Sus scrofa: one gene and its partner. The protein of the gene in region 1 interacts with the protein of each later gene in a biochemical or structural test. Links are inferred from orthologs where the notes say so. Each region holds a gene or a part of one and is shown on either strand. Other genes may lie near its edges.

Region 1 (4,030 bases):
ATGCAATGAGCCAATGATATGGCTTTTAAAAGTTTGGTGCTATCCTCCAACTATTTCAGTTCTTCTTAAAAAAAAAAAAAGGGAAAGAGAGTCACACTGGTTAGGACTAAGTAGAAGGGGATTATATAAGGTCTGCCTTTTCTTCTGGATGTGGGGAAAATCTAAAGTAATTTTCTAGTTGCCACAGTGCAAAATTAAAAGGAGAGTTCTGGTAAACTGAAAACTTCCAAACAACAGCCTCTCCTCCCATGCCAACCCTCTTTGAATCTCTGAAAACGTTTTTTATTGGGGGAAAAAAGAGCCAGTCTCTCAAATGATCCATATTTGCTATCCATTCTAATACTTAAAACCTAGATACTCACCTTTTGCATTTCATTTTGCTCTTCACTTTAGCTAAAATCTCGTGCACCTTTGGAAAGGCACAAGTTACAGATTTCACTGGATGCTTCTGCCCCTCTTTCAAGCGTTCCTTTTTTAGTTTCGTTTTCCAGTGGACTCAGTGTAAAGAGTTACATTTCTTTATTCACATGGATCAGAAGGTACACCCCCTGTAATGTGTTGTACCTTTTCTTAAATTATCCTAATTGTGGGAGCTCACTGGGGGAGAAGAGTTCCCAGGCTGCTGCAGGCTGGGATGGTTTTCTCTCTGCCCCTTTTAAACTGCCTTGGGGTGTCAGGGTCCTTTTTGCTAACCAGGGGGACCTTCCCAGGGGTTGCAAGGAGCATCCCGTCAGGCCCGCAGACAGTGAGGCTTCGACATCTGGCCCAGAGGACTGGGTACCAACGCTTGCCTGCCTGTTCTCTTAAAGCAGGTGACAACGCCTGACGTGGAGAAGAAAATTGAGGAATATAAAAGAGAGAACCCCGGCATGTTCAGCTGGGAAATTCGAGACAAACTACTCAAGGACGCGGTCTGTGATCGAAACACCGTACCCTCAGGTACGAGGCCCATTAAACGTCTTCCTGAGACAAGACGTCAGCCGCCGTTCCCAGCCGAACCATAATCACCCCGCTGGTCGATCTGGGGATAGGCGGGCAGCCCCTCCCAGGGCTCTGAAATATTTACGAACTAGACATTTTTGGTGTTTTATGGAGGAATGATGAGCTGCTTGTCCTGGGGTTGAGAGACTGCCGCTGAGGGCTCCCCAAAGAGAATTTCTGTCGTGCAGGCAGGGCAGGAAACGCGAGGCAGAGGCCAAACGTTTATTAATATTGATGTTCCCTTTTAAAAAGAAACAAATGTTTGGGTAACCCCAACTGAAGGGAGATGGGGCCGCGCCAAAGGAGACTTCGCTGGGTGCTCATAGGAAGGAAGGCTTCGGCAACCGCCAAGATTTTTTTTCTGGGAGAGTCCCAGGGATCATCCGGCGCCCCCGGCGGCCAGGGGGAGGCGGACAGAGAAGAGGGGCGAGTGCAGGGCGAGCGCGAGGGCGCACGGGTTTGTTTTTAATTAAAAGGAAACTCCCTTACCCCCCCCCCTGCGAGAACGAGATATTTCAGAGCATGGATTTGTTTACCAGACTGGAATCTGGAAAAAATAAATGGGGAGAGTGCATTTTCTTTTGATTTTTACAATAGGAAACGATTCCGCAGTTGAAATTTAAACCCTTTATAGCCTCAAAAAAAGTTGAATTGCAGGGAACGGGTCCTCTCTGGTTCTGCCTCCCTTAATGTGAACTGTGGGGCGCAATGCTTTCCGGCTGAGGGGGTGCAGGATGGGCCAGTGGGAGAATTTCCTTAGATTGGAGATCTAGAGACCTGTCTTTGGAATCAAGGAGGGAAACGCTTCCTACTGGGGAGAGAGGACGGAGACGGCGGTCCCTGGCCCTAACTTGAAGGCTCAAACTTTCCAGGCTCCCGGTTCCCTGTTCCCTAGAAGCCGATAAGGCGACGGGGGATTTCAGGAGGGGAAGAGTCTAGAAAGGTGAGGATGCCCAAAGATGCTGGAGGAGACCAAAGCAAGCTGTTCATGGCAGGCCTTCTAGGCCCCTCATTCCTACCCCGACTGGGGACTGGTGGGCCCCTTCCAGCAGGGCCCTACAAGTCTCAGTCCTATGCGCTCCCTTCCTCCTCCCGCCCCCAGTGAGTTCCATCAGCCGCATCCTGAGGAGTAAATTCGGGAAAGGCGAAGAGGAGGAGGCCGATCTGGAGAGAAAGGAGGCTGAGGAGAGCGAGAAGAAGACGAAACACAGCATCGACGGCATCCTAAGCGAGCGAGGTAAGCGGCGGCGCGCTGGGCGGCGCCCTGTCGTCCTGCGCCTCGGCAAACATCCGCGCTCTGACGTTGGGGGCCTTGAGGGCAGCGCAGCCCCGGCTCGTGTCAAGGTGCCTCCTTGCTCATATCTACTGCATCCGGCTAAGAGCATTCAAGGGAAGGACCAGAGACGCACTTGCAGGGAACACAAAAATCTTTTAGGGTCTGTTTTTTGTCTTTTTTTTTTCTCTTCTATTTTATCTATTTTCCTGCCGCACCACTCTCAGTCCTTGGGAGTCTGGAACTGCGAATTGTGCTCTAGGTGTGGGGCTACTCTCTCGCCCTCAGGCATAAGGCACTGGGCATCTCTGAATGGGGGGGGGGGCTAAGGGCAGTCCGTGAGCCTCCGGAGATTAAAGGGACTTTTGCGCCCTTAGGAAAGGCCCGGATCTCCAGAGTCTTTCCCACAGCAGAGTAGGGAGGGGAGCGAGGGAGAGAGGGTGGGGGACAGGGTTCTGGAGAGGAAGAGACTCAAAACTCTTTTAGGCAGAAGGGTGCCAAAGTTGTATGGCGCTGACTGTCATAGATATATATGTGTAGATTGGCTTTTTTTTCCCTTTTAAATTGGTTTCCAAATGCGGTAGGATTTGAGCTGTGTGTCTCTGGAAAGTAAAACAAGCCTAAGCTCTGGGCTACAAACTGAAGAGATCCGGGTTCTTGGGCACGCGGTGCTGGCACCCTTTCTCCGCCCTGGGGAGCGGACTAATGGCTTCTTGTTGGCTGCGAACTGCCAGCCTCAAGAGAAAAATCTCCCCCGTGGAGCCATAAGTGCAGCTTGCTTCCCTTTTACCAGCTGCGGGTTATCTCCAGATTCTAAAGGTAACCCCCTCCCACAAAAAAGTCGACCCTTTGGGAACTGAACCCCAAAGCGTTCACAGCCTCAGGAGAGTCTCAGCACTTTCGGCCTTGGGGAAGATTGCACCTCTTCAAAGACGCAAAGTGTCTGGAGTCGCGCCCCCCACCCCGCCCACGCGTGGCCTTCCCTCGCCTGGGGCCGAGACTTGGTTAGACTGAGTTGACTTTTGAGTTCACCAGGTGAGCTTGAAGCGGTCACCCACTTCGACCAATTGGGTCTCAGACCCCAGCCAGTGGCGTCCGGGGCAGGATTGTGGGTAGGGAAGCCGATCATTTGCCCAACCACGGGGCGAACCGCTGTCCCTCCGGGGCAGCAGCTTTACAAATCAATGCAAACTCTGTACACGACCTCGAAGGGACATAGATTTAGATGCAGCGTGGAGATGCTGGGGAGGGAGGAGGGCGAGAAACCAGCCCACCCCAAACCCAACGGACCCCAGCAGGCAGCGGGGCCATAAGCCCAGCGGGTAGGGGAGGCTCAGGAAGGGGGATGGAGGGTGGCAAGGCTTTGCTACTTGTTGCTGGAGGCGCCTGCGCGGCAGATCGGCAGCTCCCTCGCAGCTACCGGCAACCGAGGCCCAGGAGACAAAACGCCCCAAATGAGCTGGTCAAACATTTGTACAACTTTTCCAGCTTTTACAAAGAAGGCCTTCTCTACACAATCTACACTTGGAGATGAACTTGGGAGACAAAGCCTGGAGAGTCCATTGAAACTCACACTTTAGCTCGGCCCAGACAAAGCTCCAGCTCGCAGCAGCTTGATGTGAACAAAGGAAGGCAACCTTTTTATAATTCAAGGAGAAAAGAAGAGAAAACAGCCCCACAAAGGGCTGAGAATAGACATTATGGGCTTGCAATGAGGGATGAATTATTCAATGAGCCCCAATAGCTGCTGCACCAGGAAGTTTTATGGACTCTCCA
Region 2 (4,130 bases), on another chromosome or scaffold:
CTCAGCTCCGGGGCTGGAGGGGTAGGAGGTTACTCAATGCTGGGTGGGGCCTTGGAAAGGAAGATGGCGCCAGGACTGGGAGAGGGCGGGAGGGGAAGAGACCAGCCTGGCAGCTCTGGGACTGGGTGGGAGGAGGAGGCTTCTTCCCGGGTGTCCCCCTCCCTGGGAGATGAAGCAGCCCTGGGCCTGAAGGAAGCGTGGTCAGAAAGGCACCGGGAAGGCAGCTGGACGGGGTCCTGCGGTGGCCAGTCTGGCCTCAGCAGTTCTCCATCCCTCACCCTTTCAAAATTCCTTGTTTGCCATCCCCCCCAAGGCTGGCACCGTTCTCCACCTGGCTGCCTCAGTGTCCCTGCCTCCCCAGCCAGGCCTAGAGTTCTTTCCCAAGCATTTTCCCATCATGCCCTTGACCCTTGGAAGGGGTGGCAGTAGCCCCTGAGTGGCATGCCTGTGGAAAGGGCTAGTGAAGGCCTGCGGTGCCGAGCCCCCCACCACCCTTCCCATGCTCCCTCCCGCCTTCACTGGCCCCACGAAGCCCAGGCCCGAGCCCCTGCCACCGACAGAATTCCAACCACGAGGGGGCGCCCTCCAGCCCTCTGCCCCGGCTGGGGAGACAGGCCCAGGCCGTGGGGAGAGTTCCGAGGAGCGCAGCCCCCAGGGGGTGCTGTGGGGGAAGGGCGGGCCCCATGCCCGCAGCAGGCCCATCAGGGAGGTGGCTGCCCCTGGTGAGGGCCCCCCCACCCCCCGGCAGTGCCACCCGTAGTGAGAGGGCCCGCGGGAGCTGCCCGCCGGCGGGCGGGTCGGGGCGCTCACCTCCAGAGCTTGCCCAGCGTCTTGCTGAGCTCGGCGTTGTGCAGGTGCGGGTACTGGTCGGCCAGCTTCCTGCGCGCCGCCTGCGCCCACACCATGAAGGCGTTCATGGGCCTCTTGACGTGCGGTTTGCTCTTGCTGGCGCCGTTGACGCGCACGGGCATGGGCACCAGGGTCCAGTCGTAGCCGCTGAGCACCTGGCTGACGGCCTCGCGGATGCACACGGGGAACTTGTCATCGTCCGCCTCGCCGTCCTGCTGCTCCTTCTTGACCTTGCCCAGCTCGCCTGGCCCCGGGCTGGCTCGCAGGCCCGATCCGCCGCCGCCGCCGCCGCCGCCGCCGTCGGGCCCCAGCGAGGGCGCGCTCCCCGGGGACAGGCAGCGGGGCTCCTCGGAGCCCACGGGGCTCAGCTCCACCTCCGACAGGTCCTGCTCCTCCGCCATGTCGCCCCCGGCCGCCGCCGCCTCGGCCACCTCCCCGGGGCCCGCCGCCGGGGTCCTCGCGAAGAGTCCAACGCCCACCTGGACGGGAAGGAGGGCGCGATGGAGCGGCGTGCGCGAAGCCCCGACGGCGGCCCCGACGCGACGCGGGCTGAGCCCCGAGGTGGCTCCCGCCCGGCTTCCCCTTAACCCACCGAAACCCCTGGGGCCCGCGCACATGCCAGACCCAGGCTCGGCCTCCCTGGCTCCCGCCTCTGCGTCTTCCCACCACCTGGTCCCAGCCGTCTCTTGGTGTGGGTGGGTTTGGGCTTTTTTTTTTTTTTTCTTTTCTTTTTTTTTTTAAAAACCTCCTCTTGGGTGGAGGTTTGTTGATGGAAAGGAAGAAAAACGGACTCTTTATTCTGCTCTAATCCTGGCTCCTGGAATTTCCCACCTTTTCTCTCGCCTTCCCTTCTTCCCTTCCGCCTGCCCCCAAGGATCGAGAGGGGCTGAATGGGGGACAGATGCCGGTGGCAGCCTCTCTCCAGCCCACGCCCCGCCGAAGGGGCCCGGGCCTGGGCCCCGGAAGGGAGGAACGGAGGAGCGGGCTGCGCACTCACTCACCTCCTCGGACCTCTCCTCCAGTCTGGGGCTCGTCCTTAGGAAGTGGAAAACCGTGTCCCAAGGTGTGCGGTCCAGCTCGGGGCTGGGGGGGGGGCGGGACGCTGGTGGGTTGGGAGGGAGGGGCTGGGGGCCCTGAGCCTCAGTCAGGACGGAGCCTGAATCCTCACCACCAACCACCCTGGCCGGACAGCCTGAGACTGACTGAGCGCTGAGCTGCTGCCGAGGGCTGGGGAAGGAAGGAGGGGGAGAGGGGGAGGGGGAGGGGAGGGAGGGAAGGGCAGAAGGTGGAGCCTCCAGCGCTTTCCTTCGTCCCCAACACTCAGGGCTCCTCCGCCAGGCCCCCCACCCCCACCCCACCCACCCCGGCTCCCCTGCACTGCTGCCCCAGGCCCATCTTGGGAGGTGTAGGAATGGGGGCGGTCAGGCCAGGGAAGCCAATGGGTGCAGGTGGGCAGGGGCAGAACCTGTAGCTTGGAGGAAAACTGGGCCCAACTGGGACCCCCAACCTCTGCGTCGGCGTGGTGGGATGGGCGGCTGGCAAAGGACTGGGGAGGAATGAGGAGGAGGCAGGTGAAGGCTCTGTCACATGCGAGGGCGCTGGCCTGGGTGGCTTCACTTAGGACCTCTTCTTGAGTGCCAGCCTGTCTCACCCTGCCTCCTACCTCCGCCCAGGCTGCCCTCCCGTCCTCAACTTAAACAGCAAGAGAGGAAGATTGCGGGTCCATACCCAGTGGGGCAGGGCGCTGCTGGACACCCCCTGCCCAGGGCAGATCCCCCTGCTCCACCCCTGGCCCCTGTCACCGGAGGCCCAGCCCCTAAGGGCTACGCTGGCTCAAGGCGGAGAGACAGGAGGCTGGGCCGGAGCTGGGCTGGGATTGTCTTCAAGTAGATCTGAAAGGTTCTTGGGACCCAACTCCCTCCACCCTGGGGTCAGGCTCTGTCGGGTAGCGGGAGTCCCAGTCCTTGTCGCCAATCCCCTATTCCCCCACCCTGACACAGGCGAGGGACGAGCCCTGCCTTCCTCCTCCTCCTCTCGGCTCACTTGTCCCCTCAGCTCCCTTCCTCGTGGGGTGACCCCTCCATGTTTCTGTCCTTCCCATCTTCCTCGGCTTGCCCAGGCTCCTCCTGCAAAGATCACCGCCCCATCTCTTCTTGAAAGGTGGGTGTCGAGGCAGAGGCGAGGGTGTGCGCGGAGGACAGATGGAGCCTGGGCCAAGGTGGCGATCTGGGGTTTCTGAGCTCCTCAGCAGCGGGGCAAGGCCCCAGGCCCACCGGGAGGGAGTCCTGTGTGGAGTAGGGCTGGAGGGGGTCTAGGCGAGGCCTCGTGCTTGGGAAAGGCCAGGGGGTGGGGGGGGGACACAATGAGGTAGTCACACGAGGCGAAGGCATGTTGGGGGCGGGGGGAGCGGACATTGGAACACACACACACACACACACACACACACACACATGCTCGCACACACAACCAGCCAGACAATCGGGCCAGTGTGTCTGGGGCCTCGGAGCCCAGTGAATTAGGAGTTTGATAAGGGTTTTCTCTTTCTCTCGCTCGCCGGCCTTGGACAATCTCCCCCCAGTTTTCCTCGACGCCACCCCCGGCGCTGCCAACCCTCCTCCCCCCGCCTCCCTTCTCTTCCCTGTGCCCAGACTCTTGTTCGGGGCCTTGAAACAGTGAGCTGTCTTTGTTCGAAATACAGGTGAACGGCAATCATGTGATTAACACACACACACATAAAAAGCTTTTTAACAGCGCCCGCCCGGCCTCAGAACCGCCCAGAGAGGAGCCGCCCTGGATGGACAGAGGGACGGAGGGACGAGCATCCAGCTGGTCGTGTCCGGCTGCCCACAGCAGTCTCCAACACCCGCTGCTGCCCGCCCGCGGCCCGCCTGCCTGGCATCTCCCGATCCCGGTGGGTCCCCGCTCATCCTTCCACCCCTGGGTTCCTCCTCTTGAGGAGGTGTGGTGTCTGTGATTCGGCCTGTGGACCCCCCCACCCCCGCCCCAGGCAGGGAGGGGTGGCCGTGGAGGGTAGGAAGCCAGGTGTGGGGTCCCACAGCTCCCCTTTCGACTCCCCGCCTCCCCCCTTCACCCTCCTGGGCCCAGCTGTGCCAGGATGGGGGTGGGGGTGGCAGTGGGCGCTCTGGGTCTGCAGAAAAGCCACGCTGCACTGAAGGGGCCTCTCTCTTCCCCTCCCCCGTCCCTTTCTCCCCCCCTCTCCTCCTCTCTCCTCCTGTCTCCATAGCGCCGTGCTGGGCTCTCTGCTGAGAGGTGCTGGATGA

What was found.
Region 2: the proteins of PAX3 (region 1) and SOX10 form a complex in vitro, tested with the Homo sapiens proteins (2 studies listed by BioGRID and IntAct). The link is inferred for Sus scrofa from reciprocal best matches to the Homo sapiens genes PAX3 and SOX10.

What each region holds. Positions count from the first base shown.
Region 1 is NC_010457.5:124,186,476-124,190,505, reverse strand, and holds part of PAX3 (paired box protein Pax-3), read left to right. Parts: intron 1-809; coding exon 810-939; intron 940-2,083; coding exon 2,084-2,218; intron 2,219-4,030. UniProt on the Homo sapiens protein: Transcription factor that may regulate cell proliferation, migration and apoptosis. Involved in neural development and myogenesis. Transcriptional activator of MITF, acting synergistically with SOX10.
Region 2 is NC_010447.5:9,889,444-9,893,573, reverse strand, and holds the start of SOX10 (transcription factor SOX-10), read right to left. Parts: upstream 3,136-4,130; 5' UTR 2,893-3,135; intron 1,933-2,892; 5' UTR 1,851-1,932; intron 1,329-1,850; 5' UTR 1,251-1,328; coding exon 811-1,250; intron 1-810. UniProt on the Homo sapiens protein: Transcription factor that plays a central role in developing and mature glia.